Linked DNA regions of Drosophila melanogaster. The gene in region 1 interacts genetically with each later gene. Each region holds a gene or a part of one and is shown on either strand. Other genes may lie near its edges.

Region 1 (5,195 bases):
ACGCGATACGTGGGCGCGCTGCCATTTATACACCGAAGGCCCCCAAGTTGAAGAAGAAAAGCTGGCAAAAGACACAAGCACCACAGCAAGGAGCAGACGGAAAACGGCAAAAAAAAAAATAGCTACGAATAAACAACACACAGAAGCTGCTGCACTGGGAACTTTGTGACCCGATTCGATGGGCAACCTGCCCACATGCGCGAGCGAGCTTTTCCTTTTCGCCATTTTCGAGGGCGGAAAATGCGCTGCACTTTGCTCTTCTCCTCTCAATCTCTCTTCGCGGCTCTCTGCCAAATGGCAGAGTGAAAACTATTCGCTTTGCTTACGAATTAGAGCACAAAACAGAAAGCCAACCAAAACAGAGCGGCAAACCGAAAGGAATCTAGAACGTGGCGTTACTTCCAAATGGGCGAGAGATTGCCAATTCCCAGAGAGACAGGGAGCCAGAAAGAGAGAGAGAGGTGCGGAATAAATTTTCCGCCAGAGTCCTGCTTGGGGGTTTCCCACGTTCGCTGTGTGAATGAGGTATATGTTGTGTATAGGCTCGATTTATCGATGTCCGGGCCACGAATTTCCACCAGCGTGCGAAAAACCATAGCACACTTTCTGGCACACTCGTGGTGCACTCCGCCAAGGGATGTTTCCGCTTAAGAGCGTCCCGCGAACCTGTGGCATTTGGCCAGCCCAACTTTAGATGACCGATAAGCCGCAAGGCAGACTGATAACCAGGCAGGTGAACTTTCAGGCGTCTCGAGTTTCCAAGACGGCTTTTCTAAGCGGACTAATTGCAATTCTTGTAGAAGTTTATAAATTTAAATTAGTTATTCAGGGGAATGCGTGTTTCCTATATATAATTGCCTAAAATCTATTGATTTACAGATGTGTCCTAGGGCGGTTGCACATATGAATTATAAAACTGTATTAAAGTGAAATATTTAATTTTACGTATTAACGGCCAAAATTTAAGTTTCAGTTTCTTAATAATTTTCTCTTTTGTGTTTTCTCTCTTTAGCAAGAATAGTAGTTAGTACTTTTGAAAATCCAGGAACATTTTTGAAATGCCTTTACCATCCCCCAATCAATTATTAGTCCCCTTGCGGCTACGCGCCTGGGTTGAAATCACATGAACCTTGTGCCGCTGACCACCCACTGCGCATTCGCGGCACTCGCTCTCTGGCTGTTTGGCCAAATGCACGTGTTTGTTGCGGTTTTCGCATGCCTGGCCGAAGAGGAAAGCCCTCAAAATATTTGTGGGCGAGCTTAAAAAAAAACGTAAACAAAGTTTTTGTGCGCACGCAACAAAGGAACAGAGTGGGGTAGGATGTGATTCGCGTTGGTCCTTGTCAGGGGTGTTTCTGCTATTGATTGCGTAGACGACAAACAGGGTGTTGTTCGAGCAGTCTTTACTATGGTATACAATTTAAAAGTAGTCAACAAACAAAAAGGACCCGTCGGGCCGACGTACAACGATGACGAAGGATTAGCCGAACCAGTGGGCTCCCATGCAGTCGCGTGTCCACTCAGTCTGGCAGACCCAGCACCACTCGAATCCGCAGCCAGCGCGTGTGCAGACCATGTGCATGCAACCGCCTGGTAGGAAGAGAAGAAGACGGTATGGATGTGTTACAAACTGCGTCTTGGGTGTCTTCGATGCTCGCCCAACTCACCATCTCGCTCCGTGGGGGTTCTGCATTTTGGACAGGGCTTTGTGCTGACTTTGATGGTGACATTGCTGGCCTCATCCCATCGCGCCTCGGCAGCTCGCTAAAAAAGCACATGATTACACAAGCGGGAATGGGCCGTATAAGAGCCAACTCACATTTGGGTCCACGGTGTACTCGCAGGAGTTTGTGGCACTGGCGCCCGTCCCCTCGGGCAGACACTCCCCGATATGGTAGCCCTGCAGACAATTGCGGCAGAACACGTATCCACAGCCGTTCTGGCATGTCACCTTGCGACAATCGGGCTCCACCAAAAGGCCCATGCCGCATCCTGGCTGGGGGCAGAGTACTCCACCTGCCTGTAGGACATACTCCTCGGTGGCGAATCTCTGGTACCGATCGTACTCCTCGCGTGTCAACAGCTTGAAGTGATGAATCTCCTCGATGAACGAGTGCTCGCAGCCTGCGGGACAGGGCAAGGTGTAGCCGAAGTCCGGATGCGGCATAAACTGACGCTCGCCCAAACGGGAACGGCAATAATGGCGGAAGCAGTCGATACAGGTGACGTGCTGCGATGCGCAGGGGAAAACCAACACGGTATCACTGCGAACATAATAAGGTGATTATAGCAGAATAAAATTATATGACAAATAATTACTTTAAAGACTTTAAAAGAACTTTTTATGACATTTTCGATGATATGAAAATTATAAGAAATTAAGATGTTCCTTATTGCATAATCACCTCACATCCGTGCAGGCCAGGCAAGGAACATTCTTGATGTTATTCTTGATTAGATTCAATGGAGCCGCAAAATCCTTCTCCCCGCCGGAGACATGCTCAGCACACTTGAAGAAGAATTCAGCGAAGGGCGGATCGCCAGCCGCGTTGTCCACGCAGGCCACCTCCAGACTTTCACAATGACCGGGAATTCTACGCGACTTCAAGACATCATCCCAACACTCCGGATCACGATGGACAGTAAAGGCGCCGCCCTTGCATAAAGCGCAGCGGACCCGAAGTTTGCCATTACACAGCTTATCGCATTGGCTGCAATGTACAAAGAAATGCGCTTTGGCACGGACTCTTTCTGGAGAGGATACGACGGGATTACAAGGGGTTTCGTTAAAAAAAAAAAAAACAATAAAAACTAATTGTTGCCTACCTTCATCGGTTATATTCAGACGCTCCTCGCTTTCCAGCTGCAAGTCCAACAGAGTTTCATTTAGAGGCTTGGAGGCTTCATCGCTAAGCGAAGGTTCCTCCTCCTCCAAAGTGGCCGACTGGATTTTCTGGCGCTGCACGGGCGGTCGCAAACGAATGGCATGCAAAACGCTTTGCTGACCCAAGTCACATTGCTACTAGAAGACAGTAAAAGTTAACTTCATGTAGCGGATACATTAAAGAAACTTCTTACCTCTATTGTCGTGGCATCGCTTAGTTCCTTACCGGCAAATATGATCTTTAGATCATCCGGCTGAAGTCCCAATTGTGGTGCCACCAGTTCCTTTACGTTTTTAATATCCCACTGGGGCTCCAGATTAACGGTCAGCGTTTTGCCCGTGTTCGTTTTTACATAAATACTCAGCGTGTGCGTAAGGGTTTTCCCTCCAAATTGCAACAGCTCCAGCATTTTGCGTACAAAAGTGGCAATAAATTTAAAAATAAAACTCATTTGTTATCAGCTGATCGGGTTTAATTTTAGTGCAGTGTATATGCTTCAGTGTTGCCAATCGTTGTTTACTTACGCGTTGCCAAACACCAGCTGGCAGCCATTCGGAGGAAAACGTGGACACGCAGAAAGCGCACAATTGAAAACAATTTTTGTGAAGAAGTCGGAGGAGTATAAATGTAAAAGTTTTATGGAAATGTCAGGACTAACTTACAGAGAGATCAATGGCGACCTATTCAAATGCCAAAGGGATTATTCCATGTGCCACTGCGTGGCTGCCGATTTGCGAATGGGCAGAGGCATAGCTGTAAAGTTTCGGTAGGTAATGGCTTAGTGTTTTTAATAAAATGGTAAATTTGCCTATTTTCCAGAAACAAATTTGGACAGTTGTTGAATTTGCAGAGACAAAATGTTCAGCCAGGCGGCGTGGCTGTCCTTCAGGACCAGCAGCGATTTATTTACTATCTGATCACCAAGAAATCCAGCTGGGGAAAGCCCACCTACGAACTTCTCCAGAGTTCCTTGATCGCCATGCGAAAACACATGGTATGTTTATGTATCTTCTATAAGAAGTTATGATATACGAATCTTTCTACCATTTGCAGATCTCCCACCAAGTACCCAAGCTAGCCATGCCCCGCATTGGATGCGGTTTGGATGGCCTAAACTGGCCCAAAGTTAAGGAAATAATTTGCCAGGTTTTTCAAGCGGATTCTGTTGAGCTGGTCGTTTATAATTATGTTGCTATGAAGTAAATGGCTCATATTAAACTAAACGATCCATTATTTTCCCTGTGGAGGCACAAAATTGTAGACAACAATCTCCAGCGGCTCTTGGCCAAAAACGTACTCGAGGACTCCGCTGACTTTTTCCCATTCCAAGCCATCAATTCCGCAGCCAATTTTTGGGATGGCCAGCTTATTCACGTTGTTTTTGCGCTAATGTAGGAATAATAAAATGTAGCTCTTATTAATATAACTTGTCTAAGCTTTATATATATAATAAATAAAAGCAGGGATACATTCCATTCATAAAAGATATGTATCAGGCATGTATTTACCATATGCTCACGCATCTGCTCCAAAGATGCTTGTACAGATTCGTAGGTGGGCTTTCCCCAGCTCTGAGGCTTGGTTACTAGGTAGTAAATGTACCGCTGGTCATCCTTCAGCACCGCAATATCTCCACTGCCCGCTTGTTGGGCTTGCAGCTCGTCCAACCTTCCGAATACCTTCTTGAACTGCACGGCAATTCCAGCACCCATCGCAAGATCTGCGCCCACACAGTGCGCCAAGGAATAGGTCTTGGGGGCGGAAAACAGATCCCCATCCACTTCGCTTAGGGTGTACTGAGGTTTGGATGACATTCCGACTACAAAAGCTCGCCGAAATGCGCTACGTAGTTCTAGAAGTTTGGGAGAATACATTTAGTTTAAATAAGGGTTTTAGATCTGTCTGACTTAGTGTAACAGGCAGCTACTAGATTAATTTTTGGTCATACGATAACACTAGATAATGGTTCGTAAGGGTATATATATGTATTTATCAAAACTCCAATCTTTGGTTAATATCCTCTCGAGGACGTGTTTTATTTATTAATACATTAAATACAGTATAAATAACCAAATATGGAAACTTTGTGTGCTATAAAAACCTCTTAGGTGTATCGTTCTTATCAACTATATAAGTATTTGGTGCATATGATGCCACAAGTCCCAAGCAAAACCATTTCGAGTGTCAAACAAAGATGGCTATATACATTAAAAGGGAGTCTTTTCGCGATGAAGCGAATTTCTTGATCCACTAACGGACCTCGATGGCAAATGGATGGTCTTCATGTGCCGGCAGGTGGGACAAACCACG
Region 2 (5,082 bases), on another chromosome or scaffold:
AGAAGAACCAGATTCTCCTGAGGCGCCTTTTTTCCGCTACGAAGGCCGCAATTTCTGGAGACCAGAGGTGAAGGTCTCTACCGGGAGTTCTTGGGGACGTTGAAGGAGGAGGATTGGCAAACTCAGCAGCATTGTACATCTCATCCGTGAGAGTTTTGATTGCCGCATCGATGTTGCTTGGAGTGGAGAGTGGAGGATCCGGGTGCAGGGAGGACAGCATCCAGAGTGTGAACTTGGAGGCATCAGTGTGCTTCCCGGTGAGTCTTCTGGGCAACTCTTTTTTGAGGACGGGGATGTTGAGAAGCATTTTTATAGCGCTGTGGTCGGATATCAGCTTGTTATAGTTGGAGCAAGTTAGTCTGTCTTGCCCTATGCCTTTGGAGATAGCAAAATCCAGGAGGTCGGGCAGCAAGGAAGGGTTTGAAGGCCAGTGGGTAGGCTCACCAGAGGAGTGGCAATCCAGTCTTCTGCTCTGCAGGAATCTGTGGAGCGTTCTGCCTTTGGGGTTGATGGAGCGGGACCCCCACCAGGAGTGTTTGGCGTTGAAGTCACCAGCTGCTATAAAGCGAGGTCCAAAGGACTCAAAAAAATCTTGTAGGTGAGTCTCGGTGATCGAGTGTCTAGGTGGGAAGTAGACCGCTCCAACGGTGATGTCTCCATGTAGGCTGGAGATTCTGGCCAGGGCACACTGGGCCCATTCCTCCTGAAACGCAGGTAGCTCCGTGTACTGGATGCCACTCCTGATGAGCATGGCTGCTCCTCCGCGCGCTCTGCCAGATGGATGGTTGGCAGGGATGACATCGTAGCCGCTAATGCTAAAATGGGATCTGGGACAAAAGTGGGTTTCTGATACCAGTAGTACATCGATGGCATCTGTTTTTAGGAGGTGTTCCACCTCGGCTCTGCTCCTCTGCAGGCCGTTAGCATTCCAAATAACTATTTTTAGGCTTTGCATACTTTTGCGTTGAGGATGGAAGCAACAAGCTGCGTCATTTGCGAGAACATCTTCTCCATCATCCTTTCGACCATTCCTTCGAAGCGAGCAAACATTTGTTCCATGTTACTGGGTTGCGGAGATTCAGGTGGGGTTTGACGGGTTTGGTTGGGATTGGTTTGCTGAGGCACTTGGGTAGACATGAGCGCATCTCTGTAGTGACAAATAAAATGTTTTGACAACGAAGAATTTAAAGAGGTTTATAACGAGCATTGCTATATTCATAAAAATTATAATGAATAAATGGAATTCATCAATATAAACTAACAAAAGGTTTGAGCCCGAGATAAAAGAAAATTAGTATATATACAGCATGTCAAAAGCAATTATACAAAGTCAAATGTCAGCATGTTTCGAAAATAATTAACCTTTAACGTGTAATAAATAAAAAATAAATAAATAAAAATTGTATTATGATCATAGGTCAAAGTATGTAATAGCTTATTTTAACTTCATTTGTCAACAATTGTGGCTATTATATATACTTTAATTTCAAATTCAACCGCAAAGTCTTCAGTGTTGGTGAATTTGGTGAGCGTAGAGTAAAGTTTCAGCTTGTTAGCCTTTTTTAACTGTAGTAGCCTCTGGTCACACTAATCGCGTCTTTATCAAATTCGGTTATCAAATTTGTTTTGCGCCCGTTCATTCGTCTTGCGCTCATTCATTCGGTCATTCATTCGCCTTTTGAATACCGCTTCGAACGGTTGTGTCTACATCTTTGCACAACGAGTTCGAAAAATAACTAAGCTCCGCGCGAAAACAGTAGGAAATTAAAACTAGAATATTTCTGGTAAAAACATTTATCATTGGATACAATAATTTTAACACGAATCGTGAGAAGAGGAAGCAAACAATTAATACTAAAATAAAATATAAAAACGAGATCTACAACCCGCGCGTTTTTCGATTAATGAATTAAAAATAAGTGTGCGTGCTACAAGTGGAAATAAAACTCGATTTCTGGGCCCCCGACTTTTGGTTGCAACACACTTTATAACGGGAAGTGGCTCAACAAGTGGCTCGGGGATTATCTAATAAAGCCCTCCTACCGAAAATCATACTTAAATAATATAGATTATTATACGGGCAGAAAGCAACAAATAAAATATACATATATCAATTTTAAAACAACCAAAGGCCCCCATGTGTATGTGTGTAGTGTGAGCGCGTGCATATGTGTGTGAATCGAGAAACGCAGAGCAGCAGCAACAATAATAGCAACAACACTACAACGGCAACGTCAACAGCACGCAACAACAACAGCCACAACGGACGCTGTGAGTGCGACGGAGACGGCGACAGCGTGAGTCATATACAAAGTGAAATGAAAATGCGGATAAAGCGAGAAGCGCCGTGTCTTCTGTTATTTATGCCAATCCAAAATACCAACAACAACAATCGCATTGGTGGTAAGTACAAAAAGAAGCGAAAAAAAGAATCAAATCAACAGAAATAAGCAATAAGAAAAATCGTACAATTTAAGATTACACTCAAACCAATCAAAAGAGCGGGACAGGGAGAACGTATTAATCCCTCTCTCTTGCTCTCTTGATTTTTACCGCTCGGCATGCTGTTTACTTTTGCTGGGGCGCGAAAGAGAGGGGGAGCACACGTAAGCGTCTCCATTTCATTTCTACAAAAGCAAAAACAAGCAAAAAGAAACGAACTCGAGAGAGATCAGACTCAGAGTCAGTTACTTTTTTTCGCTCCATACGTGACTCACAATTCGCGTGTCTTTCAAAAATAAAAGCAAAAGAAGCGTTTCGATTCGTTTCTGTTGGCTGGATAAATGAAAAAAAAAATCAGTCAGTCCAACAAAATACGAGTACAAATAAAAAAAATAAAACAACAGAAAAAATGTAAAGCAAAGCAGGTTTCTCAAGCGGCCTGGCAACGCTGAAAAACCCGCTTTGAAACGACCTTTCGAGTACGAATTCATCGGCACAACAACAACAGAAGAAGGGAGAAGCGTGCGAAGGAGGAGGCCAAAAGGGGAGCAGAAGGAGAAAAAGCAACAGCCGCGGCAACAACTCAAAACTGAAGTTGGGAGTCGGTAAGAAAGAGCGGAAGAGCAGGAAGGGTTAGTTGCAAGGGCCAGGGGCGAAACTAAAAAGGGGTGCCCTCGTTGAGTCAAAGTTCCAAAACATTTACAGAATAGTTGAAATTTATTAAATATAATATAAGTTGAAGCATTACAATCGCTTTATAAATCACTTAAAATTAATATCATCTTAAAGTGAAAGATTTACTACCTTGTTGCCAAGTTTTTTTTAGACAATAAACAGCGAATTACTAATAACAGTAAACATAATGGCGAATCGCAACCCAAAAGTTGGACAAAATAGTGAACAGAAAGCTGATGCATAGCTCATTTCCAAAAGTAAACAAGCCACTGTATACTAATTAGCACTTTCCTATTTTCTACTCTACTTCACACCACTCCCCCCGTTTCCCACACCATAGGCCCCCTTCGAAACCCACACACTCCAGACCCAGACGCCCCTGGAGGTTTGCAATGCACTATTGGCATGCGATTTTACTTGTTTTACTAGCCGCAAACAACAACAACAGCGACAAAAAAAAAACATAACCAACGTTTCCTGCCGCGGTGAAAAGTTGGTTGTACTTTTTTTGAGGCTGTTGCTTTTTTCTGTGTTGTTTTTTGGCTTTTGAGGTCGCTTGGCTGATAACAGCAATTTTGTACCCCAGTAGTTTGCTCGAAGTTGTTTTGCTTTTCAGCATAAAAGAGACTATACTTTCTGGCAAGGCTGATAAAGTCGATTTGATCAAGTCAGCACAGTCCGAACTCCTAAGACCACTTTGAAAACATAATACAAACTGTAGCATTGGTTATCTTATCAAGTTTTTTCTTTTGACGGACGGCTGAAATGATACCCTTCAATCAAGGAACATGGCTTAAAATTAAAGTTTAGTGTAGGGGGAAAATCGTACTTGAAGTTTTTAAAAACAAATATTTACTACAAGATTAATTTTAATAATATTCGAAGAAATCAGAATGATGCTAAGAACATAAATATACCAGCATTAAAAACCCAAGATTGCCGTACTAAAAAAGTTTTCAACTATTTGTTATTGACAGCTTTTGTTCAGACTTACCTATAAATGAATAATCTGGATTGTGTTTTACTATAATATACTATCAAATTGGTATCGGGCTAGCTTACAAAGCGTTCTCTAATTATGCCTGCTCACTGTGATAAGCGACTTGTGAGCTGCGAGCGAATGTGGAAAACTTTGGCTTTGCATTCGCTCGTAATCAGGCGAAAAAGAAGAAAAAAAAACTCTAGAGCCGAAATAAATGTCTTACGTCAGTTTTGGCAGGCGGCAATCGAAACGAAATATTTTTGCGGTTTTTTTGAACGGGGAACCTGGCGCGACAAGTTTTTCGCACTGCGGTCCATACACGGTCCGTGCTGACATCATGGGTTATAAAATTAAGCAAATCGCTAACCGCCAATTAAAATCAGTTTTTAAATCACCGCATTAATGCGTATTTTCTGGTCTTCGTCTCCTTCCCTCGGCAGCCAATCAGAAGGACTATCCCAACAAGCGGTCCAGGGAGAATCTGGCATGTGACGAAGTGACATCGACGACGTCATCATCAACGGCAATGAACGGCGGCGGACGGACGCCGGCGCTAACCCGCAGCTGCTCCAGTCCGGCGGTCTACGGTAAGTGAAAGTCGGCTAAATGGGGAACCCAGCGCAAAGGTATGCGACCCGAAGACGGGTTTCAAACAATACTCTCTGTGAGTCGGTTAGAAATTTTTGGCAATTATGTGAAAAGTCGTGAATCGTCATGTATTTTGGTATGCAAGAAGTTAAAAACCTAATATTTCCACATGCAAACGTAGAGCATTGCATCTTGAAAACTGTTAGAGATATGATAAAATAATCAAATAATCAAACACTAATCACTCATAGTAGATTGCATAGATTGCAATCTAAAGCTGATCACAATAACTGTGCTAGTTAGGAAGTTACAAAGCATTGCGATCAAGAACGGAACTCAAGGGGCACCATATCGCCAGCCGATCGGGAAATCGCTCGATTGTTCTACTGTTGCAT

Evidence for each region. Genes that interact genetically often act in the same process or in processes that back each other up.
Region 2: of park (region 1) and puc, changing one enhances a phenotype caused by changing the other (phenotypic enhancement), as found in Drosophila melanogaster (one study listed by BioGRID).

The regions. Positions count from the first base shown.
Region 1 is NT_037436.4:21,193,367-21,198,561, forward strand, and holds park (parkin), read right to left. Parts: upstream 3,488-5,195; 5' UTR 3,410-3,487; intron 3,404-3,409; exon of another isoform or gene 3,347-3,403; 5' UTR 3,337-3,346; coding exon 3,079-3,336; intron 3,020-3,078; coding exon 2,827-3,019; intron 2,771-2,826; exon of another isoform or gene 2,752-2,770; coding exon 2,406-2,751; intron 2,281-2,405; exon of another isoform or gene 2,265-2,280; coding exon 1,820-2,264; exon of another isoform or gene 1,765-1,819; coding exon 1,668-1,764; exon of another isoform or gene 1,591-1,667; coding exon 1,481-1,590; 3' UTR 1,388-1,480; downstream 1-1,387. Other genes in the region: Targ3 (terminal ADP-ribose protein glycohydrolase 3), read left to right, coding at 3,530-3,651, 3,705-3,879, 3,939-4,088; Targ1 (terminal ADP-ribose protein glycohydrolase 1), read right to left, coding at 4,094-4,124, 4,183-4,271, 4,394-4,759; Targ2 (terminal ADP-ribose protein glycohydrolase 2), read right to left, coding at 5,093-5,195. UniProt on the Drosophila melanogaster protein: E3 ubiquitin-protein ligase which accepts ubiquitin from E2 ubiquitin-conjugating enzymes in the form of a thioester and then directly transfers the ubiquitin to targeted substrates, such as Paris, Marf, Opa1, Miro, pnut, Septin1, Tom20 and porin.
Region 2 is NT_033777.3:8,103,693-8,108,774, forward strand, and holds the start of puc (puckered), read left to right. Parts: upstream 1-1,639; 5' UTR 1,640-2,168; coding exon 2,169-2,403; intron 2,404-2,795; exon of another isoform or gene 2,796-3,047; intron 3,048-4,539; coding exon 4,540-4,686; intron 4,687-5,082.